2 linked regions of the Tamandua tetradactyla genome follow. The protein of the gene in region 2 interacts with the protein of the main gene of each other region in a pairwise test. Links are inferred from orthologs where the notes say so. Each region holds a gene or a part of one and is shown on either strand. Other genes may lie near its edges.

The links.
Region 1: the proteins of RFESD (region 2) and hemoglobin subunit theta-1-like interact in binary tests that used the Homo sapiens proteins (3 or more experiments, as listed by UniProt). The two-hybrid records come from large-scale screens. The link is inferred for Tamandua tetradactyla from reciprocal best matches to the Homo sapiens genes RFESD and HBQ1.

The regions. Positions count from the first base shown.
Region 1 is NC_135349.1:57,156,630-57,172,319, forward strand, and holds hemoglobin subunit theta-1-like, read right to left. Parts: upstream 6,550-15,690; 5' UTR 6,498-6,549; coding exon 6,403-6,497; intron 6,269-6,402; coding exon 6,064-6,268; intron 5,935-6,063; coding exon 5,806-5,934; 3' UTR 5,736-5,805; downstream 1-5,735. Other genes in the region: hemoglobin subunit alpha-1/2-like, read right to left, coding at 8,468-8,596, 8,715-8,919, 8,997-9,091; hemoglobin subunit alpha-1/2, read right to left, coding at 12,466-12,594, 12,713-12,917, 12,995-13,089.
Region 2 is NC_135347.1:35,486,651-35,504,097, forward strand, and holds the start of RFESD (Rieske domain-containing protein), read right to left. Parts: upstream 9,655-17,447; 5' UTR 9,549-9,654; intron 9,529-9,548; exon of another isoform or gene 8,233-9,528; 5' UTR 8,133-8,232; intron 1,515-8,132; 5' UTR 1,447-1,514; intron 907-1,446; 5' UTR 906-906; coding exon 731-905; intron 627-730; coding exon 592-626; intron 1-591.

The sequences.
Region 1 (15,690 bases), on a different chromosome or scaffold from region 2:
ATCCCTACCTACCTCTCTCCCAGGTACCCAGACCCACCAATGTTAACATTTTGCCACATTTGTTACCCTTTCTGTCCATTTATTTATTCTCTAAACTATCGAGAGTAGGTTGCATGGTCTTTAAACACTTAATATTTCCAGGTCCTTTGACATAAAGCTACAGTCTGTATTCCACTTCTTTTGTATATCTCAATAATGTCCCTTTGAGCCTTTTCTCCTCCCTTGCCAGAACCCATTGAGGATCATGTATTGCCTTTGATTACTGTCTCCTAACTCCCTTTCTCCCTTCCTTCCATGGATATACAATATAAATTTTCCCATCTCAACCACTTGTAGTGGTTGGCTTTTTTTTTTTTTGGCTTTAAACACTTTAAATTTGTTGTTATACTACCTTCTATCTCCATGGTTTCTGATGAGAAATTGGCATTTAATCTTACTGGACTCCTTGTACTTGATACATTGTTTGAATTTTGCTGCCTTCCCACTCCTCTCTCCCTCTGGCTTGCAGCATTTGATTGTCTCGTGCTGCCCTGTCCATGTCGGGTTGCCCTCAGGTGCCTCCGGCTCTGCTGGCCGCTCTCCATGCTTTCCACTGCCTGCTCTTCAGGATGGGTCATCTCAGCTGTCTGCAGGTTCTCTGATCCTTTCTTCTGCGGGCTCCAATCTGCTATTGAACCTCCACAGGGAATTTTTTTTTGGAGGAGGGAGGCTGTACGCGGTCCAGAGATGGAACCCGGGTCTCCCGCCTAGAAGGCGAGCACTCTGCCACTGGAGCACCCGTGCACCTTCTGTAGGGAATTTTAATTTCTGCCACTGAAGCCTTCATCTGCGTTTGGTTCCTTTTCATAATTTCCATCCCTCTTTTGATAGCCTCTTTGTGTTATCACTTTCTTGATTTCCTTTAGTTCTTGCAGCATGTTTAGACCTCTTATTTAAGGAGGAACTGGTGCTCCTTGAGTGGTTTCTAACGGTTTAAACTTCTCCTCTGCCCGGCCATTGCTTCTTATTTCTTCATGTGTTTTGTAACTTTTTATTAAAACCTGGACTAGTTTTGATAATGTTAATGTGTTAGCACTGGAATTTAGATATGAGGTGTCTGTTCCTTAAGCTTGTATGTAGCTAGTGTTACCATAGCACTTTCCTTGAATGCCAGAAAGGAGGAAGAGAACACTGTCCCAGGCTTTGGGCACTGCCTGCGTGAGGGGGCCCGTCTTTGAGGTTTGGCCCTGGCCAGGTGTAGAGGCCTCCCTGGCCTTTTCTGTGCATACAGCCATGGGAATGTCCCCATTTACACAGAGAAACGTCTCTTCCCTCGGAAATGGCTTCCTCCTGGTTCCTGGCACGGAGCTGTGTCCTACAGCCAGCAACCCCTTGCCATGGGCAGCCCTGACTTGACTGCTTTCCTGCAGCGTTTTTCATGGCTTCTTCTACCCCTTCGAAGTCCGTCTGTCTGTCTGATGTTTATCCTTTTTTTTTTTTTTTTTTTGGAGCAGTTAAGTCATTTGTAGTCAATGCAGTTAATACTATATTTGGTTTTATTGTTAGCATCTCATTTTGGGCTATTTATCAGACCCATTATTTTTCTTTCCATTTTTTGCCCTTTCATGGAGGTGGGGGTGGAGTTGCCTTGGAAAGTCTTTAACAGTCTGGTTTTCCCTCTCTGACTGGATAGTGGTCCGCCCTGTTCCTGGTCTGCATTGTCCTAGAGTTTTTAACATGCGCACTCACTGTGTTAGGCTGAATCATGGCCCCAAAGATGTCCAGCCAGGTTCCAGCCCTAGATACAAGGTGAATATTGGAAAAGGGACTTTGGGCCCCTGAATAAACCTGCAGATGGCAGATTCTCCTGACCTATACAGGGCAGCCCTAAAGGTAGTAAAAAGGGTCCCTGCGAGAAGGAGGCAGCCTTGTGGCCTGTGAGAGTAGGTGCCACCAGCCTGTAAGGTGGAGGAGTCCCAGCTTGGAGCTGGAAGAGGAAAAGGTTCTCCTTAGGCCGTGCAGACACCCTTTGAACTCCCACCTGTATGCTGGTAAGAGAATGAACTTGTGTTGTTTTAAGTCACCAAAGTGGTGGTGACCCCCCTTACAGCAGCTATCGGAAACAAACATCGTCAGCGTCTAAAGTTAATCCTAGAAAATCTCTGTCTGCCTCCCAGACGAGGACCAAAGAGTGCTTGGACTCCGGGGGTCACCTTCTGATTCTCTTTTAACCCCACAGACATTGTGGTTTCATATACAGCCAGTGTTTGTTTCCATCTATGCATATTTATCTCTTTCATTTTTACTCATTCCTCCTTGCATATCAGATGTTCCCCTAGGGTCGTTTTTCCTTCTGCCTGAAGGGCAGGGTCTTTCCTGGGCTGGACTAGGATGAGACAGGCCTTGGGGCTGGCAGCAAGTCCCCGGCCCTCACACTGGATAGTTCACTCCATGGATTTTCCTTTTTCTTTCTGTTCTGACCTATTTTAAATTCATTAATTCTCTTAGACCTATCCATTGGATTTTTAATTTTGATGACTATATTTTTCTTTCTAAAGGTTCTTTTTCACATACACTGTATCATTTTTGTATTTCAAGACTCCTTGCAGGTGTTTGAAATCTCACCTTTAATGTTTTAAATACAGTGACCCGGTTGTTGTAACTGAGCCTGGTGTGCCCAGCGCCTGGATGTCTGAGGCTGCGCCATGTTGTTGCCTCCTGCCGTCCGCCGTCCTCTGTGGCCTTATCCGAGGAGGATTTCGGACAGTGTCTGTGACTGAGTCTGAGCACGTGTTCAGCGCATCCCCAGCCTGAAGGGTTTGTTCAGGGACACTCGGGTGGCAGGAGCTTGCTGCAAACCCTCAGGGGAAGCAAATGGCATCAGTTATCAGAGATTTATTTTTCCTTTTCTGCTGAGTACCAAGGTGTCTGTTCTGTTTCCAGCCCATGTTTAAGGGAAGGAGGAGATTTTCTTGTAGGTGCAGCATTGAGGGGAAGCCCCGCCTTGAGCCTGCCCTTTTACCCTGTAAGCCGGAGAGGCCAGGAAAACCCATGTTCCAGTTTACTAGTCTGACATATGACTCAGGGACTCTGATTTCTCACCTTTAGTGGGATTTTGGCCTGGAAATTCCTTATCATCATGTTAGTTCTTTGATGTTTCTAAGGTTTTTTAAAAACTTATCCAGCATCTTTATTTATCCAGAAATAAAACTGTAGCCTCTCTCCCCAGGTTGGTAATGGTGGCCCAGAGCTGGCAGCACCTTGCAGCCAGTGATGGGCCCAGGTCTCCCTCCCCAGAGTCCAAAAGAAGCAACAGGTGGAACTGGCAGAGAACTGTGTATTTGGGCTAAAGAATTACCTGCCCCCACTCCCACCACCACCACCACCAGAAAAAAGAAAGAAAATGGGCAAGTAATTGCAACACAAAAGATGGACTGATGGGTCATAACTATAATACAGGATGGCTTCTCCAGGGCTGGCTGTGGGATGGCCCGCGGATGCCAGTGGGTGATTGGTGGAAGGAGAGCAGGTGCCTGGTGGGGATGGAGCAAACTGCTCGCCTTCAGTAGTAATTTGAGCAGCTGGAGGTACCACAGAGTGGTCGTTTTTGCCAAGCATTGGCACTGTGATGGAAGCATGGGCATTCACCTCCTGCTGATGGGACCTTGACAACAGCAATTTTGTCAGTACTATCAAAAAGCTGTAACAATGTGCAAGCGATTTGCCCCAGAGATTCCACTTACATAAGAATCTCCCAAGGAACTTATTATATTATTATTATTAGATATTATTTGTATGTTTGCATGTAGACTTTTAACTATAAAAGATATTCAGGATAATGTATCCTGCAAAATGTTTGAAAAAATGAAAACCACGTACACACAAGTGAAAAATCACTTAGTCCAATCTTTTTAACCTCTTTGCTATTGTAAAGTAATATTTGCTTCTGCCCCTGTAGTCCCACACCCAAGGGTAACTGCTGCCAGTGTGTGTTCTTTTCACCTCCCTTGGGGTCTCTGCACACGTTCACCCACAGCTAGCCCCACGGTGTTAACACCTGGCAGTGCCCCGCACCCCTGCTGGCTGTCTTGACGTCCCCTGAGTGGCTGACCGTGGCTTGTCTGGGCTCTGCTGTTGATGAGCATGGTGGTGGTTCACAATATTTTTTTCTTACTTTCTTTTTACTTCTCTGCTCTAATAAACTTCTTCAAAGAACATACTGCACGTACATTTTCATGTTTCTGCCACTGTTTTCTGTGGGATTATTTCCAGAAGAAAAGTTACAGGGTTAGAGAACACTAGCTGCTAAGTTTTCAGGAAGTTTGAGAGCTGGTTGTTAAACACAGCCACTATGAAAACATCTACAAATTTACAGGTAAAAGGATCCTGGTAAAACGAAGATAATAAAGACTGAATGCTCAACATCACTTCATTTTATCATCTTCCCTGCTCTTCAGGGTCTCATAGCTATCTTATCAGTGTGGAAATGGTAAGTGATGGTGGCATCTCTCCCGGGCTTACTGAGCTGGAAATCATTCCCGTGGGACCTGGTGGATGCTCCCCGCTCCACCTCTTCCAGACTGCCCAGGGTGGCCACCGTGGTCACCCCTGTGTGCAATGAACTGCCTGCAGGAAAGCTGTGCTGAATCCACTTCCATTGGATGTTAAAATGTTACCTTTTTAATACGCTTCACTGTGAGAGACATCTTGATAACCTGTGCTTCAGTTTGCACGCTTTCTAGTATCTCTTGGCCGCTGGTATACTGAGTTGCCTGCTGATCCTTTGGTCTATTACTCTATTGGGTTGTCTGACTTAAAAGGGGGAACTGGAGAGAAGGAAAAAAGGATTTGGAACTCTGTCTTTTCTGGTAGAGGTAAAACTTCTGCTACAGGTTGAAATTACCTTTCTTTTGACTTAGCTTGTGATCTGTTTTCTCCCCATATTGAGTTGTTTGTTTTTCCTTTTTCCTCTTGATATAATCCAGTCAGTCTGCTCTTCCTCCAGTGTCACATTTGAGGGTGCCATTTGAGAGACCAAATATCTCTGAATGAGCCCAGACAAGGATCCATCTGGAAGTCTGTACACTTAAGTGTTACCGCTGCGTGTGTGTGTGTCTGCATGTGTATCTCACGGCATGATTGTGGTGTGCATGCAAGTGTCACACCTGTGCTCCTGTTCTGAATTCTGCTTCCTGTGAGCTTTCAGAGCCTTCATCTCTCCATGTGTCAAGTGGCAATGGAAGAGAATGGATGTGAACTCGCTTGGAAGGTGCGGTAAGTGGACGGTTTTCCCCTCGAGGTTCTGCATTGTCCACAACTGATTTTATGAGGACAAATACGGCAAGCAAGAAGGAAATTTCAAAAAAGTAGCTCTGGCCTCCCTCGAGGGAGACGGCAGGGCAGTGCACGTGGGTTGTGCACTGGCTACCCTCACCCAGCCTGGCTTTGTTTGCTGCCCCTGGCGAGGTCCGCAGTGCAGCCGCCCGAGGAGCTGTGACCCCAATCCTCCGGGGCACCCAGAGTCCCCGGGACCTGGCCAGCATGCTGTGTAAGCCCCCTGCCGGCAGGGTTCGCTCGTTTTCTGCTGGCTGCGCCCCCCTCCCCCGCCGGTACCCTGTCCCGTGCGTGACTTCCCGAGAGGGCGTTTGGGGCTTGGGGGTCACCTGCCCCAACCGGCGCCCGGATCGGTAGTTGGGGGTGCAGCTCAGGCTTCTCCCCGACCCCGACCTCCCTCCAGAGAGCACGCGCACACGCGGTCACGCGCCAGGACTTTACTCAAACACTAGGACCTCGCGGCGGGGGGCGGCTGGGATCCCGCACCCCATTTCAGCGGCATTTGGAGGCCAGCGCCGACGTCACGTGGCTCAGAAACTTGTCCAGCGAACCGTGCAGGGCGGGGCTGAAGTCGCCGGGGTAGTGCCGGGCGAAAGTCACAAGCAGACAGTGGTTCAGGAGCTGCGGGGGTCAGGGTCGCGCTGCACTCGGCCGACACTGCCTGGATCCCCGCCCGCAGCCTCCCTAACCCTCCCAGCGCTCCCCGACGCCCTCTCCGGGTTCTTCCGTGCCCGGCGCCCGCGGCCTCACCTTGAAGTTGATCGGGTCCACCCGCAACTTGTGCGCGTGCAGATCACTCAGGGCGGACAGCGCGCCGGGAAGGTCGTCCAGGTGGTCGGCGGCGAGGGTCAGGGCATCAGCCACCTTCTTGCCCTGGGCCTTGACCTGGGCGGAGCTGGGGCTCAGGTCTAAGTGCGGGAAGTAGGTCTTGGTGGTGGGGAAGGAGACGAAGAGCCTGTGGGAGGGAGTGGGTGAGGCAAGACCGGAGGTGGGCAGGAGCAGAGCCGGCTCCCACGGCCAGACGCTCCCCGAGCGCAGGTCGCTCGCGCAGCAGCCGAGCCGAGAGGTCCCGGACCTGCCTGTCCCCACCTCTCTAGGGCCTCGGTGGCGTAGACGTCGACATTGCTGCCCAGCTTCCTCCACAGCGCACGCACTGCACCCTTATCCGTCGCGGACATCGCCATGATGGCCCCGAGTCAGTTGCGCCTGCGCCCGCGCGCCCCGCTGCCACCCCCCGCGCCCTGCTCCCCGCGTCCCGCGCTCCCTGCCCGCCGCTGCCTCCTCCCTGCGCCTGGGTCCGCGCGCCCTGCTGCCCCCCCCTGCGCCCCGCGCTCCCTGTCCGCCGCTGACCCCCGCGCCCTGCTCCCCGCACCCCGCGCCCCACTGGACCCCGCGCCCTGCTCCCCACGCCCTGCTCCCCACGCCCCGCGCCCCCTTCCCGCCGCCCGCGCAGGGTGTGCCCTCCCGGGTCCCCGAAGCCTGCAGGGGGCACGGCCGCGCGAGTTGGCCTGGACCCGGAGGCACACTGTTAGGGTGCTTGTCTACCGAAAACGAAAACGGCGCTGCAGATGCATTACTACTGTTGAAATGGCACAGCCTTTTAGTGCGGTTTTTGGCGTTGAGCCTCCATTTGTTCTGCCTCCTGAGTATTTTCTCATTTATTTTATAGAGGAAATCGGGGATAAAGGTTTTTTCTTCACAGGGTTCTTGTGAGAATTAAACGGATAGGAAATATCAGGTGCCAGGCCCGTAGGTCATATTCATTTCAGAGCAATGAACGCTTATTGAGCGCCTATGGTATACCACAGTAATAATAGCTTACATTTATGTAGCGCTCACTTGGCTTTAAACACCACCCTATATGTATTTTTAATTGTGATAGAATTCACACAACATAAAATCTACCATTTTTAAGTGTATGATTCAGTGTCATTTAGTACATGTTTTGCACCTTCATATTTATCTAGTTCCTGAACATTCTCATCACCCCAAAAGAACCCTGTGCCCATTAGCAGTCACCCCCCCCACACACACCCTGACACCCCCACACCCCATCCCAGGCTCTGGCACCCACTGACTGGCTTCTCTATGGGTTTGTCTTCTCTGGACATTTCACACACGCAGATTCACACATTTGTCCTTTGTGTCTAGCCTATTTCACTGAGCGTGTTTTCAAAGTTTATACTGTCCTGTCAATCACAAATTCCTTTCTATGACTGAATAATATTCCTCTGGGTAGGTGGATAGACCACGCTGTTTTACACTCATCTATGATGGACATTTGAGTAGTTTCCTCCTTTCATGAGGCCCTAACCCAACCTTTTTCCCTAATAATAAGGTAATACTACTTTTTCTGAGAGTTCTGAATTCGATGTGGCAAACCACAAACTGAGGACGGGGCCTGTCGTTGCAGCTAAGATCAACTCCTGAGCCCAGGGAAGAAAGGGTGTTTCCCACTGTCAGAGGGTGGGCAGGGGTCCTTCTCTGTTGCCTGCTGGGCTTGGCACCTGAAAGTTACCCTTGGATGCCCCACATGCCAGGGCTTTCTGCAGGAAAGGGTGTCCCTGGCCCTGTGGCTCTTTCCCAGGGTGACACCAAGGATGGAGGTGCCAGGTGTCGGTGTCAGAAGGAGGGTCCTGGAAGGGCTCAGTGGAAGGGCCGCTCCAGGGAATTGCTTTGCAATTTCTGCACCTGCCCTGATCAGGGCAGCAGCGACTGTGTGTTTGGGAGGCTTTGAGGAGACCGGGAGAGAGTGGCACTCAGCAGGGCTCCAAGGGCTGTGAAGCCTGCCCACTCGGTCAAGGCTGACAAAGAGGTGTCAGGATGGAAAATGAATATATCACTTCAACAAACTCATGCCAGGTCTGGGAACAAAATGCAGAAAAGGGGGAATGTATGGGCAAAGCAGCCCATGCAGGAGGTCAGCACATTCCCCCAGTCAAACCGGCCCTGAGCTGCCCTCCCCCCTTCTCCCCTCCCCTTCCCCTCTGCAGGGGGCCCGTGGTCCCCGGCACCACACCCGCCGCCCGCCCCTGGCGCCTCGGCAGACATGGACACAGAGCCAGGTCAAAGCAGGCTGCCGCCCACGCAGATTTTATTCAAAGACCGGGAGGCTCAGGTGGGCGGGGGGGGCCCGGGGCGCAGACACTCCGGCTTAGCGGTATTTGGAGGTCAGCACGGTGGCCACGTAGGTGATGAACTTGTCCAGGGAGGCGTGGACGGCAGGGGTGAAGTCGTTCGGGAGGTGGTTGGCCAGGGTGACCATCAGGCACTGACCCAGGAGCTGCGGAGAGAGGCGGTGTGAGGGGCGGCAGGGCGGCCGGGGCCCCAGGAGCCCCGCGCCCCGGGGAAGGTCGCCGCGCGCTCCGTGCCCGGCTCCCTCCCGGCGCCCGCAGCCTCACCCTGAAGTTGATCGGGTCCACCCGCAGCTTGTGCGCGTGCAGGTCGCTCAGGGCAGACAGCGCGCCGGGCAGGTCGTCCAGGTGGCCGGCGGCGAGGGTCAGGGCATCAGCCACCTTCTTGCCGTGGGCCTTGACCTGGGCGGAGCCATGGCTCAGGTCGAAGTGCGGGAAGTAGGTCTTGGTGGTGGGGAAGGCGAGGAAGAGCCTGAGGGAGGGAGCGGGTGAGCGGCGGGGCGGGCGCCCGGCGGGGGCGGGGGGCAGAGCGAGGCCGGGGCTGCTCACCTCTCCAGGGCCTCGGCGCCGTATTCGCCTGCATGGGAGCCAATCTTGTCCCAGGCGGTCTTGATGTTGGTCTTGTCGGCGGGCGACAGCACCATGGCTAGTTCTCTCGGGGTTCCGCGTGGACACGGAGCGTGCGGGGCCCGGGGCGCTGGGCGCCTTTATGCGCGGAGTGCGGGGCCACGCCCGGGTGGGCGGTTCCGGGGGCGGAGAGCAAAGGGGTGGGGCGCTGGCCGGCGGGGTGCGTCCCACCCGAGTCAGGCCAGGTGTCCTGCAGGGCTGCTGAGCGCGGCCCTTCCCCCTGGGGCCACCTGGCCCCTCGCCTGCCCTTCCCGGCTGCTAGAGACCCGCCTTGGGCCAGGGCTGTGCCAGCTCTTGCACCATTTCTGAGCGTTTCTTGGCCCAGGTTGCACCCTCCTAGGAGCCAGAAGCTGGAAGGAGGGTTGGTGGCCCCACCCTGGACCTAGAGTTAGCACACACTGGTCTTTTTTTTTTTTTTTTTTTTTTTTTTAAAGGAAAGACAGAGAGAAGGAAGGAAGGATAGAAGGAAGGAAGGAAGGAAGAAAGGGAAACATTTTTAAACATTTTCTTGTTTTATTGTATTCTGTTTCTCCGTTTTTGTTACATGGGCTGGGGTCGGGAATCGAACCGAGGTCCTCCGGCATAGCAGGCAAGCACTTTGCCCGCTGAGCCACCGCGGCCCGCCCCACACTGGTCTTTTAAGGTGATAGGAATCAGTGAACAGGTGTGAGAGTCAGCAGGGAAGCAAGGCACGCTCCGCTCGCTGGGGCAGAAGGGGTTCTGCACATCAGGAGCCTGCGGGCACCCTCCTGTCTCCTGCAGCCTTAGTTCTCCCATCCCCTGTCTTTCCACAGTCGCCGAGTGCCACCAAGCACTGGTAGGGGCAAATATGAGACACAGAACTGGCAGGGTGGGGCTGGATCTCCCAGCCTGGCTCAGGCCAACTTGGCAGTGGCAGGGTCTCTCCATCTCACCCCATGTGAAGGGAAGGGGACAGGCTCTCCAGACGCTGAGTGGATGAGACTCAGTTTCCCCCCATGTGCCACTTTGGACCTGACCCATCCAGCTGCTGAGTGGGTGCGTAAAAAAAGGGCCGAAGGAGGCTACTGAGATGCCCACCAGGTGAACATGCAGTTGCCCCTTGTGAGCCACCCAGAGGGAGCGTGAAGTGGGTGCGGGAGAGTGGCAGGTGGCTGTTTAGTCTGAGGGTCGGGATAGGCTTCCCTAGGAGGTGAGAGCGAAGGATGAGTAAACATTAAATGCAGTCAGGCTGGAGGCTTGGCTTGTGTGGAGGTGGCCAGAGGGCGAGGCCCCCATGGCAGGACAGAAGGGAGGTGGGGAGACAGAGTGATAAGGCTGTAGGGACCACATGGAGGGGCTCCTTCTAGCTGCCAGTGAAGCAGCAAGAAGGGATGGGAGTGAGCTGGGGCAGTCGCCTTGCTGGTGAAGAGGGAGGCTGCTAGCTGCGGGGGTTGGGGGGCCCTCAGGAATGGATCCAGGGAGACATCACGGCTCATTCCCTTCCTGGTGCCTGCAGGAAGGCCTTGCTTTGGGGAAATCCCTGCTCCTCCAGGACCCTCACTCACAACTCCCAGGAGTTGAGGAGGAAGGCAGGACTGGGCTAACTTGTGCAGAGAAGGAAGCAGCTCCAAGCCACACTACCCTCTGCTCTGCCTCCCACCCAGTGCTAGGCTCTTAGCATCTCACACCAACAGGACCCCCCAACTAATCCGACTTCTTCTCCCTACCCTCTACCCTTTTCCCACCTATCCTGATCCTGTCCACAGCTCCAGCCGCAGTCCTGGCTCCAAAGAGCCCAGGGGTCAGAGGCTGGGACCTTAGGCAGCACGGGGCAGGACCAAGCACCTCCCTCCTTCCTGCCTCAACCCGCCCCCCACACACACCTGAACTCTTTCCCGGAAAGACTTGGGGAAGCAACACCATATGGGAAGAGCATCCATGTAAAATAAGGAAAAGAAAAATGGACAAAGGATACTAACAGGAACTTAACAGAAATGTAGAAATGACCCACGACACTGGGAGGAGACTGATCCGAACGAACTGGCCTGGAGGAATGGGGGATGGAGACAGGTTGCAGACCAAGTCTGCCTTACGGTTATATTTTGTATCAGCATTAACTGCACAAGGTGCAGTTCGCAGTGGTGGGACTGCAGGCTGCTCAGCGTAGGGTGGGGTGGAGGGCTGAGTGCCCAGCTCGCCTGGGCCCCTCTCCCGTGCCAGGGAGGAGTGTGCCCAAGTGTGTGCTGCACGGGCAGGTGAGTCCCTGCCCTTATTTTGAATAATGCAAGAAAGTGAGAGCCGTGAAAGCGTGGGTGGATTCTAGCGTGTTTTTGAAATTATAAGCTGTTTTTTTAAAAAAAAAAAAAGGAAAGAAAGAAAAGCAGTTTTAGGTTTACATAAACATTGTACAGAAAACTCAGTTCTCATCTGCTCTCCTGACGCACACCCAGGGTTCTCCCCCCTTGGTGACAGCTTGCATTAGTGTGGCCCACTTGTTTCACCTGAAGAACCAATATTGACACATTTTGAGTAACTAAAATTTTAAAATTAAAACGTTTTTCTATGTTTAAATAAAAGTGGGTCGACTTCAGGGCAGAGGCAGTGTTGAAGAGGGAAGGAAACTCCCCAGCAGTTCAGAGTGGCTCAAGTCCAGGCCAAGATCAAGAGAAAGAAAGGGGAGCACCTCACCACCCTTCTCAAATTTCTATCCAGGGCCCGGTTGCAGGCGGCCTCGGGGCCCGGACTGGGGCTGGGGCTGGGGCCGGGGCCCGGGGGCAGGCGTGGCCCTGGCCTGTGCGCGCGTCTGGGTGCACGCCCCTCTGCGAGTTTGGGGCAGGGTGTCCGCAGTTTCAGCACCTCGGACAGGAGCCCTCCCGAAGGAGATGTGTGCTCACGGCAGGGCAGTGGGAGAACTCAGCCTGGGGGCCAGAGAATGTAGGCTGCGCTCTCAGCGAGTAGGGACCCGACACAGGGCCGACCAGCTCGGCCCCCGCCCAGAGCACGTGGGGCCCGCGGGGCTTCGGTGCGCCTTCCACTGGTGGAAGGAGGAGGACCTTGGGGAAATTGTCCTGTGCCTGCGTGTGCACCGAGAGCAGCCTGCTTTGATCTCATCTGCGTGTGTAACTGTTGCTCGCTCAGGGAGATCGCAGAGGAGCGCAGCCACCCTGGAGCTCCCACTTCTGCCTTGGGACCTCGGCGCGTTCTGGCAGTGCGATCCGATCCCGTCCCTTCACCATGCCCTCCCCCCTTCTCCCCTCCCCTTCCCCTCTGCAGGGGGCCCGTGGTCCCGGCACCACACCCGCCGCCCGCCCCTGGCGCCTCGGCAGACATGGACACAGAGCCAGGTCAAAGCAGGCTGCCGCCCACGCAGACTTTATTCAAAGACCGGGAGGCTCAGGTGGGCGGGCGGGGGGGGCGCAGACACTCCGGCTTAGCGGTATTTGGAGGTCAGCACGGTGCCCACGTTGGTGACGAACTTGTCCAGGGAGGCGTGGACGGCAGGGGTGAAGTCGTTCGGGAGGTGGTTGGCCAGGGTGACCATCAGGCAGTGACCCAGGAGCTGCGGAGAGAGGCGGTGTGAGGGGCGGCAGGGCGGCCGGGGCCCCAGGAACCCCGCGCCCCGGGGAAGGTCGCCGCGCGCTCCGTGCCCGGCTCCCTCCCGGCGCCCGCAGCCTCACCTTGAAGTTGATCGGGTCCACCCGCAGCTTGTGCGCGTGCAGGTCGCTCAGGGCAGACAGCGCGCCGGGCAGGTCGTCCAGGTGGCCGGCGGCGAGGGTCAGGGCATCAGCCACCTTCTTGCCGTGGGCCTTGACCTGGGCGGAGCCATGGCTCAGGTCGAAGTGCGGGAAGTAGGTCTTGGTGGTGGGGAAGGCGAGGAAGAGCCTGAGGGAGGGAGCGGGTGAGCGGCGGGGCGGGCGCCCGGCGGGGGCGGGGGGCAGAGCGAGGCCGGGGCTGCTCACCTCTCCAGGGCCTCGGCGCCGTATTCGCCTGCATGGGAGCCAATCTTGTCCCAGGCGGTCTTGATGTTGGTCTTGTCGGCGGGCGACAGCACCATGGCTAGTTCTCTCGGGGTTCCGCGTGGACACGGAGCGTGCGGGGCCCGGGGCGCTGGGCGCCTTTATGCGCGGAGTGCGGGGCCACGCCCGGGTGGGCGGTTCCGGGGGCGGAGAGCAAAGGGGTGGGGCGCTGGCCGGCGGGGTGCGTCCCACCCGAGTCAGGCCAGGTGTCCTGCAGGGCTGCTGAGCGCGGCCCTTCCCCCTGGGGCCACCTGGCCCCTCGCCTGCCCTTCCCGGCTGCTAGAGACCCGCCTTGGGCCAGGGCTGTGCCAGCTCTTGCACCATTTCTGAGCGTTTCTTGGCCCAGGTTGCACCCTCCTAGGAGCCAGAAGCTGGAAGGAGGGTTGGTGGCCCCACCCTGGACCTAGAGTTAGCACACACTGGTCTTTTTTTTTTTTTTTTTTTTTTTTTTAAAGGAAAGACAGAGAGAAGGAAGGAAGGATAGAAGGAAGGAAGGAAGGAAGAAAGGGAAACATTTTTAAACATTTTCTTGTTTTATTGTATTCTGTTTCTCCGTTTTTGTTACATGGGCTGGGGTCGGGAATCGAACCGAGGTCCTCCGGCATAGCAGGCAAGCACTTTGCCCGCTGAGCCACCGCGGCCCGCCCCACACTGGTCTTTTAAGGTGATAGGAATCAGTGAACAGGTGTGAGAGTCAGCAGGGAAGCAAGGCACGCTCCGCTCGCTGGGGCAGAAGGGGTTCTGCACATCAGGAGCCTCCGGGCACCCTCCTGTCTCCTGCAGCCTTAGTTCTCCCATCCCCTGTCTTTCCACAGTCGCCGAGTGCCACCAAGCACTGGGAGGGGCAAATATGAGACACAGAACTGGCAGGGTGGGGCTGGATCTCCCAGCCTGGCTCAGGCCAACTTGGCAGTGGCAGGGTCTCTCCATCTCACCCCATGTGAAGGGAAGGGGACAGGCTCTCCAGACGCTGAGTGGATGAGACTCAGTTTCCCCCCATGTGCCACTTTGGACCTGACCCATCCAGCTGCTGAGTGGGTGCGTAAAAAAAGGGCCGAAGGAGGCTACTGAGATGCCCACCAGGTGAACATGCAGTTGCCCCTTGTGAGCCACCCAGAGGGAGCGTGAAGTGGGTGCGGGAGAGTGGCAGGTGGCTGTTTAGTCTGAGGGTCGGGATAGGCTTCCCTAGGAGGTGAGAGCGAAGGATGAGTAAACATTAAATGCAGTCAGGCTGGAGGCTTGGCTTGTGTGGAGGTGGCCAGAGGGCGAGGCCCCCATGGCAGGACAGAAGGGAGGTGGGGAGACAGAGTGATAAGGCTGTAGGGACCACATGGAGGGGCTCCTTCTAGCTGCCAGTGAAGCAGCAAGAAGGGATGGGAGTGAGCTGGGGCAGTCGCCTTGCTGGTGAAGAGGGAGGCTGCTAGCTGCGGGGGTTGGGGGGCCCTCAGGAATGGATCCAGGGAGACATCACGGCTCATTCCCTTCCTGGTGCCTGCAGGAAGGCCTTGCTTTGGGGAAATCCCTGCTCCTCCAGGACCCTCACTCACAACTCCCAGGAGTTGAGGAGGAAGGCAGGACTGGGCTAACTTGTGCAGAGAAGGAAGCAGCTCCAAGCCACACTACCCTCTGCTCTGCCTCCCACCCAGTGCTAGGCTCTTAGCATCTCACACCAACAGGACCCCCCAACTAATCCGACTTCTTCTCCCTACCCTCTACCCTTTTCCCACCTATCCTGATCCTGTCCACAGCTCCAGCCGCAGTCCTGGCTCCAAAGAGCCCAGGGGTCAGAGGCTGGGACCTTAGGCAGCACGGGGCAGGACCAAGCACCTCCCTCCTTCCTGCCTCAACCCGCCCCCCACACACACCTGAACTCTTTCCCGGAAAGACTTGGGGAAGCAACACCATATGGGAAGAGCATCCATGTAAAATAAGGAAAAGAAAAATGGACAAAGGATACTAACAGGAACTTAACAGAAATGTAGAAATGACCCACGACACTGGGAGGAGACTGATCCGAACGAACTGGCCTGGAGGAATGGGGGATGGAGACAGGTTGCAGACCAAGTCTGCCTTACGGTTATATTTTGTATCAGCATTAACTGCACAAGGTGCAGTTCGCAGTGGTGGGACTGCAGGCTGCTCAGCGTAGGGTGGGGTGGAGGGCTGAGTGCCCAGCTCGCCTGGGCCCCTCTCCCGTGCCAGGGAGGAGTGTGCCCAAGTGTGTGCTGCACGGGCAGGTGAGTCCCTGCCCTTATTTTGAATAATGCAAGAAAGTGAGAGCCGTGAAAGCGTGGGTGGATTCTAGCGTGTTTTTGAAATTATAAGCTGTTTTTTTTAAAAAAAAAAAAGGAAAGAAAGAAAAGCAGTTTTAGGTTTACATAAACATTGTACAGAAAACTCAGTTCTCATCTGCTCTCCTGACGCACACCCAGGGTTCTCCCCCCTTGGTGACAGCTTGCATTAGTGTGGCCCACTTGTTTCACCTGAAGAACCAATATTGACACATTTTGAGTAACTAAAATTTTAAAATTAAAACGTTTTTCTATGTTTAAATAAAAGTGGGTCGACTTCAGGGCAGAGGCAGTGTTGAAGAGGGAAGGAAACTCCCCAGCAGTTCAGAGTGGCTCAAGTCCAGGCCA
Region 2 (17,447 bases):
TGAAGTCCTAATATGTGTGTCAACACGGATGAACCTTGAAGACATCATGTTGAGTGAAATAAGCCAAACACAAAAGGACAAATATTGTACAATCTCACTGATAGGAAGTAATGAGAATAAGCAAATTCATAGAGTCCAAATATAGAACATAGGTTAGCTGGGGTGGGGTTGGGGTAGGGAATAGGGAGTTAATGCTTAAATTGCACAGAGTTTCTATTTGGGTTGATCATAAAGTTTTGGTAATGCATGATGGTGATGGTAGCACAACATTGTGAATGTATTTAATACTATTGAATTATATACTTGAAGGTGGTTAAAATGAGAAAATTTAGGTTGTATATATTACCAGAAAAAAAAAAGACATAGAACTGTATAACACAAAGAGTGAACCCTAATGTAAACTATGGATGACAATTAATAATATAATAATTTGTTTCATCAATTGTAACAAAAGAATCACACTAATGTAAAATACTAACAGGGAAAAAACTCTGTACTTTACAGATGATAATTCTGTGAACCTACAACTGCTTTACTAAAAAAAAAAAAAATAGGAAACTTCTGGATTTGTAGAGAACAGATTTTACATACCTCTATTTCTCCCAAATGTAAGGGTCCTCCTGAATCTGAAAAGGAATTGAATGTTTCATCTGGTTAGTATGAAATTGATATTTTGATAGTTTCGTAGTTTGTAAATAAGCACAAAGTTTACAAAAGAAAAAAATCTTACGGTAACAGCGAATATCCATAGCATGATATTCTCCTTTGTGATAGAAAATGACCACTTCCCTATCATGCACAACAGCTGTCAATCTTTCACGTTTTTTAATGTCATCTTCTCTGCCAACACAGACAGAAGAATACTCCTTCTTTTCAGGATTTTGTACAGAGTCATTAAGATCCATGCTACACAAAACAAAACAAATAAAAAAAAAAAGAGAAAAACTGCAAGTTGCCTTCATTCATTTGGCTAAAACTTAACTCACAGAGATAATTATATCGATTATTTCTCCAAAATGAGGCATTTTTCTGTAGGTATATAAAATAAAACAATCATAAATACCGGAAGTAGTTAGCCAGAATTTTGAATTAGAGACTTTTAAAGGCTACCAAAATTAGGAATGACTCCCCACTCTGAGCTAGAGTCATAAATTTCAATGCTTAAGACGGAAATTTCAGAATTCTAAAATATAGAGATTAAAGTTTCACTATCCTTTTATTCCCTATCAAATTCAAAGTTTAACAATATCTGGTTATTATCTGCATTGTTTTCAGTCTTCTGCTGAAGATGGGATTCTTGAATAGTCTGACCAGATCTAGGCCCCTTGGCTGAGGTGTTTCCTGTGTTTTTTTGCCTGGAGTCTACAGCCAGCTCTTACAGGCACAACCACATGATTATTCTAGCAGGGTGAGATAGGGATAAAAGGACACTTTTTATTTTCTTACCTTAGAAATTGCTGTTCCAATCATTACTTCCTTCTGCCTTATTCTGGCATTCAGAGAGATGGCTCTGTCTTCAATTAATTTATAGAGGTATATAAGCCAATATTTCTAACAAAAGTTTTAGTAGAGCATTTGTAGGTATTAGATACACTTTTTTTTTCTCAGCACAGATATGTAGCCTGTCTTTTTAAAAGCAACACAGAGACCATCTATATAATTTAAGAACAGAATCATGGTATGTTTATTCCATTTGAGAAGGAAACATCATGATACATCAGTGTTAGGGATCGCAGGCCCCATGCAGAAGGTTTCCCTGAGGGTTTCCCATTTGGGGTGGCATTTAGTTTTTTTTCTATCATAGTTTCTAAATAAAACTATATATATCCTGTTTTGCCAACAACTTTCATATTTGTTCATTATCCACTCCTAGTGTCAACTCTATCCTGTTATTCCTAACCTCTTCCTATTAGAGACAGGAGTTGCCATCCCAACATTCCTGCTTTTCCTCCGTTCCTCTGAAGACAGATTGAGATGCTTTTGGCTGTAATTTTCAAAAAGTTAATACTGTATATACCGCGTATAAATTTATTATCTTAGGATTGAGCTTTCTTCCCAGGCAACAGCATATTTTGAATGTTCGCATGAAAATAAAAATTACAGGACCGAATCAAAGGGTTTTGCTTTTCATTTATTACCAATAATTACACTATTGGATATCCCTATAGGGTTTCTTCTCTCTTTTGGAGAGTGGATATCTTCAAGCATCTAGACAATGTCCATTCCACCAATAATATAAGAGAAGCTCACTCCACAATGAGGGTGAACAGGAGAGGGGTTGCCTGTTTCATTCAAGTGAGATTCCTGTCTGCACCTAGAACATTATCTTGAAGCCGAGCTACTTCAGCCCCTTTACTGTTCGACAGAATTAAAAAGTTTAAGACAGATGACAGAAATCAAAGGGACATAGTAACATCTAATCACAACCTACTTTGGGACACTGATGGACAAGTTTCTCTAGAGTCTATTTAAGGAGACATAATTTTTTTAAAAAAATAAGCAGGCAAAACTATCAAGGACTGGCTATTGATAATAACCTTTAGCACAGAAGAATTATAAAATAAAAAGAAAACTTTCAACAATAGCTCTTCGGATTCTCCAGCAAAGTTCTACTTACTTATTATTGATGATCATTCATTTGAAATTTTTTTCTGAGCATCCACTATGTAACTGGCATTTCAGGAAGTGAGACAGACAAGGTCTCTGCCCTTCCAGAGATTATATTATAGTTGGTGAGACAGATAATAAGTAAATACATAAACAAGATAATTACACACTATGATAAGAGCCATAAAGGGAATAAACTGGGTAACATGAGAGAGAGTAAGAGGGAGGTGATTTCACAAAGTGGTTATGAAGCTGAGATCACAGGTGAATTGAAATCTGAACAATGCAAATGAACTAGATATGATAAGAGCTGAGGAAGAGAATTCCATGCTGACAGAGCAGCACATACAAAAGCGGGTAGGAAAGAAAAGGCTTGGCTAGCCTGAGGAACATATGGGAGACTGAAGCATAATGAATATGGAGAGTGGCAGGAGACTAGGTTGGCGCTGTAGGCAGGAGCCAAGCTGTGCAGTGTTGTGTGTGGATTTTATTTTAAGAGCAATGGGAAGCCACTGAAAGATGTTAAGCATGGAAGTGTGACATGACTGTTTTAAAAGATCATCCTGGCTGCGTGGCAAATGGATTATAGCGAAATGAGAGGGGAAGGACACACAGATATCAGAAAATTATGGCAAAGGTTGATGGGAAGGATAATGGTAGGTGACAGTGCAAAGACGAAAAAAAAAGTAACAATAATAGAGTAGCTACAATTATATTGTGATTACTATGTGCCAGGCAATGTTTTAAGACTTTACACCTATTTCTCCCAACATAATACTATAAAGAAGATACTATTACCTTAATTTCACAGTGAGGAAACTGAGGCAAAGATAGATTGGGCTGGTGGCCTAGAGTGAAGGAACTGCATAAAAAGAAATAAGGATGACTCCCAGGTTTTACGTATGTGCAACAGGCAGACTGTAGTGCCAGTGACTGTGATGGGAAAGACTAAGAAAAGAATGGTATTTCTTCAAGGCTGGACAATCAAGAGCTAACTATATTTTGCATACATTGACTTTGAAGTGCCTAACAGCTATCCAAGTGGAGATACCAAGTCACAGTCAGATATATGAAATCGGAATTGAGTCACCAGAGACATAAACTCGGGAGTTTTCAAGTTAGGTAATTCAGTGAAATCACCTGGAAAATGTGTGCAGATAGAGAAGATGGTTCAGGACAATTCCTGAAACACTTCAACATTTAGCTGTGAAGTAGAAGACAGACCTGCAAGAGGCTGAAGAGAGGCAAGGTCAGAGGTGTCCAACCTATCGATAAATGGAATCCATTCACTGCTCTCTACTTTATCCCGTATTCTCCAGAAATGCAAAATAGGCAGGCACTGAGGCAACATCCACTACAATAATGGCCATCTCTGTGCATTAAACTATGAATGATATCTGAATAAAACTTGGGTTTTCTAGGAAACTGTAGTTATCCCTAAACTTTGATTTTTCCGTACAGAACTGGGTCTACTCTGTATGCTTCTCTCCTAGTAATTTCACTTATTCCCTATACTTTCAGCCTCCTAGAAGTCAAATACCAGCTAGCATCCAAACAAGGGCCTACATCTATAACATAACCATTCCTACTTGCTTCTTCTCGTATTTCTAAAGTTTGTCTCCTATTGCATTCCTTAATATCTTTTTGGCCAAATATAGATATTAAAAAGTGGGAAAAGTCAAGACTACGAGAAATCTGTCAATATTGTTCATAGGGACAGGCTAAAGGGTAAATTCTACCCTTTATGAGTCTGACTCAGTCCTAAAATCAAAATAATGATTACTATATACCACCATACAATACTTGATAAGCATTCTTCAGAATTTCAAGAACACACAATCTGCCCTAAAAATGGCATATGTGATGATAAATGCACAGCTAAATGATGGTATTGTGAACCAATGATTGTACACTTGGATGATTACATGGTATGTGAATATATAATATATATCAATAAAAATAATTAAGAAAAAGGCATGTGTCTGTATTTTCAACCCAAAATAAGTATTCAGTCATCTTACAAAGCCTCGATAGATGTTTACACTGGACACAAGTCTCCCAAAATAAAATGTGACAACAATTCTTCTAAAGATTATGGCAAAGGTTAGGTTTTCTCAACATTTTCATTTTTCAGTTCCATTTTTATGGGATTTCATCATTTTATGGATTTCTTTCATCATGGTTAGAACTTACAGAAAGCTCCAACAATTTGAAAGGCATCCAACTCAGGCTTATGCAAGATAAGTAATTACATATGGAAAAGGAAAGGAAGTGAATCAAAATGATGGCCCATGTTAGTTGTAGAGACCCAACTTCTATTAAAACATTAGGAAGTTCAACATGGAATGCTCATGATACTAAGTTCACATATATTTATATGCAATTTAAAGTACTTAAGAAAATTATAAATCAAATGTCAACTTCGGATTTCGAATTTTAGGAGGCTGAACTTTCATAATCTATATCCTCTTTAAATAGAGTAATAGTGTCATATTTCATAGGAATTTATACAGGATGACAATGTATCTTCCTTGATCAACAGGAACCTGCCATTGTAATTTCACTCAAGTCTCAAGTTAACATTTTAAATACAAACACACACACACCCAAACTATTTAACAGAGGCACTTGGATCTTGGTATACCTAGCTTAAAATGGTTGTAATCTATGAACACAATCCCCTCCCATCAAGGAGGAAAGCCTTTTATATGGCAGTGTCAAGAGGCCTTTTGCAGAGAATTTTCCTGATGACTTCTCTAAATATTTACTGAATCTTGTATGACTGTCTAAGTTCAGAGAAAAAGAGCATTGGCTCATCTAAAAAATAAGTTCATAAAACAGACTATTATTCACAAATAGAACCTCTATGTGTACGCATTAGGAACATTTGGACAGAAGGAATTTATAAGCCACATTTTAATCTACCATATGGGTAGATTAGACCCATATACAAGACAGATATCAATAGATATCATGTACAAATGTGGACTCCAAAACTGAGTTAGAGTAGTGTGTGTGTGTGTGTGTGTGTGTGTGTGTGTGTGATGACAGGGAGAGGCAGGATCTCTGAATTCAATGAATAAAGAAAGCATCACACAAATCAAGCTTAGTAAGTGTAGGGATGTCAATTTTTTTTTAAATTTCCAATTATAAAACTTGAAAAAAAAACTTCGTCATAACATATAACAGCATTTTCCATTTTAACCACTTTCAATTATACAATTCAGTGGTATTAATTACATTCCCAATATTGTGTTACCATCACTAAAATCCATTATCCCAATTTTTCACCACATCAAACAGAAACTCTGCATTCTTTAAGCAATAAAATCCCTTTTCTCTTCCCTCACCCATTGTAATCTACCTGTCTCTATGAATTCGCACATTCTAGGTATTTCATCTAAGTGAGATCACTTAATGTCTATCTTTCTGTGTCTGGCTTATTTCACTCAAACATAAGGGATGTTAACTTTGTACTCTGAAGTTTGCTTGCTAATCTATGTACTAACTAACTTACTTACAATAGGATGGGAAAATACTACATATGCTTTTTATAAAATTATTTCATAAAAAACAAGTGTGTGTGTGTATTAAAAAGAAAAGACAAAGAGGAATCATGACCATGCTTTTCTGGGTTAGCCATGGCTGAAAGAAGGCTGACACACTGCTTTTCTAAACAGTCATCAGCTTTTACTTGATTCTGGCAGCTACCCAAAGTAGAACAGACAGAGGAGCAATAATAATAAAAAATGGGAATTGAAAGAGAGAGAAACAGGCTGAAAGAAAAGAAAGGGAAGAAATGTAGAATTTGCAACACATACAACCAACAAAGTATATATTCATAATACACGAACAACATTTTAAGATAACTAAGGAAATGCCAAATAACTATGGAAAATGGGCAAAAGACATGAACGAATATTTATTTCACAGGTGAGAAATCTGAATGGCCAACAATCATATGTAAAGTGTAATCTCATTAGTAGGGAAAAGCAAAGTAAATGCAAAGCAAAGCCACAAATGGGATACCATTTTCTACCCAATAGATTGGCAAAAATTTATACCAACTATTGGTGAGGATATGGAGCAACTTCTAGTGAGGATATAAATAAGTGCTACCACAGTTTGGCATCACTTAATAAAGCTGAATGTCTTCATGACTCAACAATCCCACTTTAGGTATATTCCATAGAGAAACATGCATAGGTACATCAGAAGACATGCACAAAAATAGTTATAACTATAAAAGACTGGAAATAACTCAAAAATTCATGAGCAGTAGACGGGATAAACTGGATTAATTTTTAAAATGTAACCAAAAATAATTCAGTATGCTTCCATTTTTACCAAGTGCAAAAACAGGCAAAACTAAACAATGTATTATTCATGAATACTATATATATATATATGGTAAATCTATAGAAAAAAGCAAGGGGGATAATAAACATGGCTCCAGAAATTACCTTTAATTTTTATTTTACTCTTTTCTATGTTTAAATTGTATCCTACTTTATATTTATGTAGCGAATGACCTAAATCCCAAGAAAAACAGGATAATGTCACTTTATATCCTCAGAGAATGTGCCTGTGCATAGATCACGATTGAACTGCTTGAGACTTTTGTACAACTCATTTCAAAACTTGGTACTAGAGGAAGAAGTAAGGGACTAGCCCCCCCCCCCCCTTTTTTTTTCTAGGCAAAGCCTACAAATACTAGGATCTAGGGAGGTAACAAAATACATGAGATGCGGACTAATATTAAAAATTAATTATGTTCTTCCCTGTCTCTGAAAGAATGAGATTCAAAGACAGTTCTCCTTTAAATTTCAGGCTCTTCAACCATACAGTCAATACCTCTAACCAAGAAAAACGGTAGTGAACTTTGTGAGGGCTGATAAGAAATGGGCAGAGAAGGCTGGGACTAAATGATAAAGGTTTCAGAGAACTATGATTATGTTACAGCCTTGCATTTTGAAAGAATTATTTCATCCTTCAAATAACTGTTTCCATTGTGTATCATAAAAGGCACTATTTATTCAGGATATCTGGTGACCATTTATATTTAACATTCATATTACTCTTTATCAAATATTGTGATTATCATGGTCTATTTGGACAACAGTAATGGAGTCCATGGTACTGTTACTATTCATATACTCCCACACATTTCCTCTACTTTGAGTCTACTCTGAATTAGCAGAATCTTAGCTGAACAAAAGGAAATAAAAAGTTAAATGACTCATCTAGTTTGGGGGCTTGATGAAGAAAGCTTCCTGCTGAAAAATTTAGCCATTTTGTTCCATAATTCATAAATTTCTTTGTCCGGCGCCTAAACTTGGGTTTTTATAGGCACTTACTTCATAAAAAATAACAAATTAGCTAAATGGGTTCTTAGTCTCTATTAGATGTCTTTGGTCATAGGGAATACATTAAAGGTAGATTTAAAAAAAAAAAATTAAAGTTACATTCCACCTGACACTAAAGACAAGAGACATGGTCAAAGTGGGAGAAATAAAGGTACTTACTTGTTACTTCTCTTGAGTACTTAAGTAGTTTCTCACCTCTGAGGACTTGGTCTGCACATTATCAGAATACATAGTTCCAGGGTGACACCCTTGCTTTTAGCTTCACGGAAGAAAAAGAAATGTCTTTGCTCGTAGTTTTGTATCTTGTTTTATGACAGAACAATAATAGATAAAAGTAGCTTTCTGCTTGGACACTTCGCATGTATTATTAGCTCATTAATCCTCAAAAAAAATGATAAGGAGTAGGTACTATCCCTATTTTCCAGATAAGGTTAAAAAGTTTAGCAAAACTCACAAAGCAGCAGACTCAGAATTTAAATGCAGTTCCTATGAGTCTAAAGTAGGTGACGACTGATACATAAACCCCAACATTTCATCTAGGGAGCCTGCAAGGAACGTATCCTGAAAGGACTAAAACTTTTTAGCAAAGCAATGGTATATGCAAATTACACCAAAAAGGATGGTCGTTATTCGTGTTTCGTCTTTGATTTTAATCTGGGAATGCCAACGCGTCAACAGATGTTTAAAGTGGAATACTCCTCTAAGTAATTCCCTACTAACTTTAACACAGTCATACCGCCGCGCTGAAATTCTCCATGGTCACCTAGTGACATCAGAGATCCGGTTCAGGCGGGCTGGGCGCGGGGTCGAGTCCCGGCTGAGCACGTCGCTAGCAGCGTGCTTCGGACCATGTTGCCTACTCCCTGCGTGCGGCGGTTTCCTGGTTTGCAAAAAACCCGCAGGACTAGCACCTGCCACGGAGGTGTGGTGAAAGACAAACGGCTTTAATACACAATTATCTGGAGCTGGGTCTGACGGTGGAAAACGCACAAAGAATGTTAACCGTCATCTCTAAGGTCCTTCCAGCTCCGAGCGTTTTTCCGTCCAGGCTGTATTTAACCTTTTAGGAAAAAAGACGGTCTGCGGTTCTCGGGCCGAGCGGTGCTCACAGGTCCAGGGACCACCACGAGAGCCTAAGGATGGCTCTTCAGTGCTGGGGATTCTCCCGCCTGCAGACTTGAGAAGACGAATATCTAAGGAGGAAGGGACTGCAGAAATTCTGGAACGGGGTTTATATTTTATGGTGCAGAAATGCCAGGAAAGCTTGTTAAAAACGTCCCACCTGCCTCTCTGAGGCGACAGATGCGGGGCGAAGACCAGATTCTAGTTCAAAGTGAACAAGCTTGTTGGGCCAAGCTGGGGCGCGCGGAACCCTCCCCTGCGGCGTTAACCATTAACCAACGCCGAACCGAGGCCTGGGTGGAGGGTGGGGGAAGTGCTCGGAGGCGCCGGGAGCAAAGGCCACACAGCACCGCCTCCTCCAGGTGCCACGGGTCGCCACCGGAAGCCCGAGCCCGGGCCTCGTGTCCTGGCAGGAAGCAGCGGCCCAGCTCCGCGCGGAAGAACAAAACTTACTGCGCTCCAGTGCCTTGCCCCGCCTCCACCGTCCCGGCCAGCGGTGAGCAGCGCCTGTTGCGACTGCGCACGCTTAAGCACCGGGCCAAGGAGCGGTGCCTCCGCGGGGCGGGGCGAAGCCAACCACGTGACCCGAGCGCTCCCGCCCCCCCTCCGAACCCCTCCTCGGTTTTGTCCGCTGGTGACCCCACCTGTCAGTGACCCCTGGCCATCCACGCTCTGTCAGCACCTCGGAACTGGCAGGTTTAATCGTATGCTTGACAGACTTGGGCGGCATCAGTTTATTTTTAAAATGTTTGTTGATCACACCACATTTTCCAAATATTAACTGTACTCAGCGATTTCACTTTTGGAACTTTGCCCTATAAAAATATTTGCAAATGTTCGTCAGGATGCATGTTACCTATGTATCCGGATGTTTGTTGCAATGCAGGGATGAGAATAATCAAAGAGGTTTTCAACGGGGGAATGATTGAAATACAATGTAGACGTGAATTAACTTTGTAGCCGTGGAACCAAAGGACAAATTCCATAATGTAATGAATGTGAAAAGGTACGTATGTATAATATGCTCTCTTTAGTGTAAATAAAAATTACTTCTAGAGATAAAAATATGCACGGATATACATAAACTTTTTAAAGGAAATAACAAATAACAGCGGTCGCTCTCGCGGGAAGGAGGGCTTTCAGGTTCTCACTTTTATTTTTTGAACCATGCAGTATTTTCTTTTTTAGTAAGATGCATACTGCGACTATATAATCAAATAATGAACAATTTTTTGCTCTCTTTTTATACTTATTTGAATTAAAAAGAAAATTTCATAGTTGTGTGCAAAGCAGGAAACTAGATGAACGTACTAGATTTTTCAAAGTGTCCTTGACTCTTTATTATCTAGCGCAGTGGTTAGTAAACTGGAGAGTTTAAAAAAATCTTGGTGCCCGGTCTACATCACAGACCAATGAAAGAAAACACTTTGTAGATGGGGACCAGGGACCAGTGTTTTGAAGACATTTCCCAACTGATTCCAGAGTGAAGCCAAGGTTAAGCACCATGGCCACAAAGTAATTTACATGTCTGTTTCCCAAGAGAATCGGGGTCTCATCTGGACCTGCTGTCTCAGGACGGCGGGGTTAACAAGCTTTGGTGGCCGTTCCTTCATCCTACAGTACAAAAACTGCTCCAGGGTTCCTACAGCAGTTAGTGTGCCACACCTGGCTTACAATGGGCCTCAGGCAGTTGAAGCTAAAGAGCCTCGTCCATTTATCCCAGTGTGTCATACAAGTGACACTTTTTTTCTATGAGCCTCAACATATAATGGTTGAGGAACCCCAATTTTGGATTTGCTCCCAATACTAGTTTCTCCTGATACTATTTAGTTCAGAATAGTTTGAGGGCGATTGGTAATATTTGAGGGGATAATTTCCTTTCTGACTCTTTGTTTCACTAAGCCAAAAACAAATGAACCATCTAGTTTGGTGTATCAAATTATTTAATGAATAATCAGATATAATTTGATTTGTAACCATCCCGGCTTGTGTTACTGAAGGACTAAATAAGGTTTACCATTTCTAATGAAAAGCCCTTCTCTGTTGCTTTGATATATCTGAGCATTCAGGTATACAGAATAGACACATCTTAGTTACATCCATCTTAAATCTAATTTTGGATAAACTGAAAGCCTCAGCAGATATGTACACATATCTACCCAAGAAGAATGCAAGAGAGAAGTGAAAGCTTTCTTTCATCTCCATCTAATGTATTAATGTGGTTACAGTCATGTGATATATTATGAAAAGCTGTAGGAGGGGGCAGAAAAAAATGCATTTCTTCATTTCCCCCAACACCCACCCACACACACACAAACACCTTTGGTAACAGCAGGAACCCTTAAAGTCTGTTTGAAATTCATTACAGTTCAGGAGAAAATTTATGACTTCTGCTGTTACTTTACTATATTTTAAATTGCAATAAAGCAGGTCTAGCTAGCTGTGGGCACTGCTTGACAAACTTCTAACTGAGACCATTTGGAGACACTTTCTAAGTCTTCTCTCCTTGGAATCAAATTGCATCTTTGTTCGTTCTTCATTTATTCCTTCAACTTCTTTGCCCTGTGCTTCTAACTTTGTCCTACTACTGACACCTAGTGGTACCTCTGGCATGAGTTTTGTTAACAAACACCTCAGCTTTCCCTGGGCGACCTTGACTCTCAATTATGCTCATGTGTAAAAAGTCTCAAATGTCCTTTTCACCTTTGCAAGCCGAGCTCCACACCCCAAACTCTAAGCAGCACCACGCTGTTTCTAGACAGGGTTTTCCAGACCAAGCTCTTCCTCTCAGAGAGATGCAAAAATTGCCTTCTATCCTAAGCCAGAGTCTATCTTGTGAAACCAGCGAAAGCATCCGTTGTGCTGCTAGTCTCACTACAGGAAGTTTTAAAGGATACCAGCAAAGCTGGGTTCTCTCCTCCTTTAAACTGGAAAAGGATGACATGATCGCCTTTGCAGGCTCTTGGGACTCAGATCATGAGAAGTTCAGGGTGGCGTATGGCTTTGAACCCCACCTGCTTATGGCTCTAAATTAATGTCTCCACATCAGTTGGGCTGCCTGTTGGCATTTGCACATGGATATTGTGCGAGAACCAATGGTGTTCACCAAACATCCCAACTGCTACCCCACATTTCCTAGCCCCTCTTACGGCTGGTGGAGGGCATATGAATAGTTCGTATTGCCAATGGGCAGTGGGTGAAGTGAAGTGTGCCACTCCTAGACTGGTGCAAAGAAGAGCTGATATGAGAACTCTTCTTTTCAGATCAGAACAATGAGCAACATTCTAGATTGTGGAGCCTCCCACCAGCCTGGGCCCTTAAGGGACTATGTGGAACAGAATCCGCCCCAGTTTCCACCAAGCTGTGAAAGTAATGTAACTTCAATAGGAAATAAACTTCCGTTGTGCTAAGTCACTGGGATTTTAAGGCTGTTTATTATTGTACATTGTTTAGTTTACCCTATCTCATAGCTATGTCCAATTTCCTGTGTTCAAAATGTAATTATTAATTTTCTCGCATAAACCTGCATTTCCTTTGTTCTCTCCATCTCCCTGAGTGTCCGCGCTGCCCGCCTGCGTGCTTGCGGTGGCAACCTGCCGGTCCCCTTTCCTCACTCGCCCTGTGCAGAAAAGACTTACCCCAGGAAGCCGGAGTCCGTTACCATTAGAATGGTCTGCGTAGGCGTAGCCTTGGCTGATGACTGAGAAGTGGGCTGGGAAGCAGTCCCCACACTGATATAACAGTTTACCTAAATAATCGGGGTGCCCTACGCTGCCCAAACCGTTTGTACATGCCAGCAGCATGGTGAGCATCAGGGCTGTAAAAGTACGGGATGTGTGCTGTGGTGTCTGGCACAGGAAGGCATGTGGGTCCTAGAGGAGGGACAAGATTTTAAGTGGGTAGAGCCAGAAACTAGTCAATGGAAAATTCTGTCAATCATCAGACTTTTGGTAAAATTGTGAGCACAAGATTCTGTTCTTGTCGACAGCACACGTGGACTATACTGAATAATAATACAGCATGTAAAACTGTAAAGCCACCATTTATCTTTTTTTGAAGGAAAATACATGAAATAGAATTTATCAGAATTCTTCTGTCTGAAGGACACAAACCTGTACCATAAACAGTGACTTTGTTTTATGCATCCTAATTTTAAGAAAAGATTAACTGTGTTATAGGAAAGATTGAATTGTCTTTCTATCTTCTTTATATAAAATATTATCGTGGGGGGATGCAAGGGTGGTTCAGTGATAGAATTCTCGCCTTCCAGGCAGGAGACCCGGGTTCATTCCTGGTCCATGCATTTCCCCAAAACAACAAACAAGCAAACAAGGAAAAAAAAAAAAAAGAATTCAACAAATGCTGCTGTAATCACGGGATACTCACATGGGAGAAGAATGAAATGTGACCCCTGCCATGCAGCATAGTATATATATATATATATATATATAAAATCGTAAAATTGTTATCATGTTCTATCAATTAAAAAGAGGATGACTCATGCTATAGGAAAGACTGAATTACTTATTTTCTTTATATAAAATATTATCATAAAATTGTTATCCTGTGAAGAGAGGATTAAAGAGCACATAGACAGAAATGTAGGCAAGAAGTATTATAGGAGTGTGTCTGGCAATTAATAAATATGTTTGCTATTATGTCAGTTTTCACATTTGTATTTTTTGTAGTTATTTGTCCATTCTATTCAAAAGATTTGCTTTCATGCCTTATTTCCATTCATCATTTTGTATTCTTTTTTTTTCGAGTAGACAGACCCTCTCCACACTGTATAGACTTCAGGCCCCTGAACCTGGATCCACCCACAGTTGACACTGCAAGTTTCATGAGTTTCCAACGTCAAATTGTCTGTGACAGGCCTGGGTGCGCAGCGCTGCCCAGGCTGTTCCAAATTCCATTCTGCATTGTGCACCGGGGCCCCCAGGGAGTGGGACTGGAAAAGGACTGACCTTGGATTCATGTAGCATGTCCACATGCTCAAAGGCCCTCTATGCCATCAGGCGGTGTCAAGGTGGCTCTGGAGTAAACTTTAACTAGAGGTCAGTTGCTTAGCCAGACCTGGCAACAACAGCCACTGAAGCAAAGGCCTGAAAAGACATGCCCCCAGGAAAGACCCTATGGCACAGGACACAGAAAATATGCTGAATTAATTCCAGGGCTCAGAGTAGAAATGTCAATCAAAGATCTTTTAATATACAAGAAAAGTAAGATACCCGGAGATTGAGGCTGCAACATTTGTAAATTCCTAAACTTGCTAGAAGGCAGGAATGAGTCAATTGGCTCTAAGATAAATGCATACATGAATCTTTCTCACCAGATTTGGTAAGCATGGTGTCAAAATTAACCAAATTATGGGACTATATCTCCCAACTGAGTTTACCCTCACAGGTTGTAGATACGAACTACTTGCATTGACCAATGGACAAACAGCAAGGGGAAGCTAAAACAAGATTCTCTCCATAGTTTTTCCTCACACCCTAAGTGTCTACTAGATACTTTAGCAACATGAAATACTGGTTCTGGAAATTAAACTTTGCTTGACTAACTGCTCTAGGGACAGGGAGTGTTTAGGTAGGTGAGGGGCTAACACTGCAATTGTGTTTTGGGTGCCCTTATCACTTTTCATTCTTTTAAAAAAAAAAAAAGGTAAGGCTCGTCAGAAAATGGCCACTGAACAAAACCAACCTCAGAGGTCCTAATGGAATGACATATTCCAGGGTGAGACGGGCCAGGCTCAGCTGCTGAAGGACCCATAGCTCCACACAGCCTTCAGGAACCTTTCCAGAGAGTCTGCAGAATCTGAAATTGGGGAGGGCTTTAACTTTTTCACACAACAAAGACAGGAAAATTTGATTTTTGAACTTTAGATTTTAATTTCTTTGAACTTTTCTTGTAAGAGAATTTAATCTCTGAACCTCAGCTTCCCCCTAGACATTGTTTCAAAACTCAGACATTGTAAAGGAGTTTTTTGTTGTTGTTGATGGTGGTGGTAGTTTGTTTTGTTTTTAATTGGACATTGCTAACCCTAGATGGGAGAGAGTCCAGTAGTGTAAGTCGAACTAAAATCCTTCCCCATGAAAACCAAGGGGCAAGTAATATGTGTTCTCATATGACACTCTGCTGAACTATGTGTTTCTGGCACAAATGTAAGGCTTTGAGGGAGGGCTCTATCTAGTGCCCAAAGTCTCCACATCTGTTGTAGCAGGCATTACCAGTCTTTAACATACTGGCTGATTACACCCTTTTTTGTTGCAGAATTGCTTAAGTTCATGCCACTTGTTTCCTAAGGATAATTTCCCAGAATTTCTCATGTTTGTTCCATCTTGGGTATCACCTGTGACCTATTGACTCTGATATTGATGTTTCTGCATTTGGTGTCCTCAGGTATTAGGCAGGATCTGCCACCTGATCTTTGAGACAGTGCCTTTCCTCAGCCATGAATATTCCAAGCTTTGTATAATGGGATCTGACTTCGGAGTTTCAGTCTCTTTGCTGTACCTCTGTTTCCTTTAGGAAGGCTCAACAGAGTTTTTAACAGTTGAACCTGCTTTTTAAATTGATCTCTTTCCTTCTTTGACGCATGCATTCTTTGCCAAAACTGAGTTCCTTTCTTTCTTCCTTCCTTTGTTTTCTCCTCGCTTTCTAGCCCAGACGTGAAAAGCATGCAACGTTTAAACAAATTTTCCTTTAGTTGTATGGTCCCAACAGGAGACAATCTTCCATCGGATCAATGTCTAAGCCAGATCTGTACTTGTTTTACCAAAGTTCAATCTGGTTCCATGTGCACACTGGGGTACATGTATGCCTATGTCAATCTGTTGGGTAGAAGTCCAATGGAACTGAATCGAGAATTTAAAAGTCAACCCTCGTATTTTTGGCCAATTGATTTTTTACAAGGGTGCCAAGTTCATTCAACTGGGAAAGAACAGTCTCTTCGATAAATGGTGCTGGGAAAACTGATGTCCTTAGGCAAAAGAATGAAGGTGGACCCAAACATCACACTACATACAAAATTTGATTGTTGAATTCAAAAATCAACTCAAAATGGATCATAGACCTAAATATGAGAACTAAAGCTATAAAACTCCTAGAAGAAAATGTAGGGAAACATCTTCAGGAGCTTTGTCTTAAGCACTGGTTTGTTAGATTTTATACCCAAAGCATGAGTAACAAAAGAAAAATAGATAAATTGGACCTCATGAAAATTAAAAACTTTTGTGCATCAAAGGACTTTATTATGAGAGCAAAAAAGATAACCTACAGAATAGGAGAAAATATTTGGAAGCCATATATATAATAAGGGTTTAATATCCTGAATCTATAGAACTCCTACAACTCAACCACAAAGGAACAATCCAATTTAAAAAATGGGCAAAAGACTTGAATAGACATTCCTCCAAAGAAGCTTTAAAAACGACCAATAACAAATGAAAAGATGCTCAGCATCGTTAGCCATTAGGGAAATGTAAATCAAACAGTTTGGGGGTTCATCAAAAAGGTAAGTATAGAATTAGCATATGACTGGCAATCCACTTACAGTTATATACCCAAAAGAATTGAAAGCAGGGACTTGAACAGATATTTGCATATCAGTGCTTAAAGCAGCATTATTATTCACAATTGCCAAAAGATGGAAACAACCTAAGTGTGCATCATCTGATGAATGAACAAACAAAATGAAGTATATACATACTATGGAATATTATTCAGCTGTAAAAAAGAATGACGTTCAGATACATATAACAGCATGGGTGAATCTTGAAGACATCACGTTGGGTGAAATAAGCCAGATACGAAAGCACAAATATTGTATGTGGTATGAAAAAATTAGAATAAGTAAATTTTATAGAGTTAGAGACTAAAACATGGGTCACTAGGGTCTGGGTTTGGGGGGAAAAAGGGGAGATAATACTTCAATTGTTCAGAGTTTCTGTTTGGCATAATGGAAATGTTTTGATAATGGATGATGATGATGGAAGCACAACATTGGGAACATAATTAACAGTCCTGAAATGTGTATTTGAATGTGGTTAAAAGGGAGATTTTGGAATGTATATATGTTACTAGAAAAACAACAACAGCATAGTATGGTAGAAGACAAACAATGAAACTAATGTAAACCACGGACTACAGTTAATAATGTAATAATGGTCTGTCATCAATTGTAACAAATGTGCCAAATTAATGCATAGTGTTACTAATAAGGGATGTATGGAACTCTTCATTTTGCATGATTTTCTGTAAACCTACAACTTCTCCAATTAAAAAATGATCATAAAAAAAAGACACTAAAGAGACAATCAAATACAGTGTGTCAACTGTGATGGGTTTTGA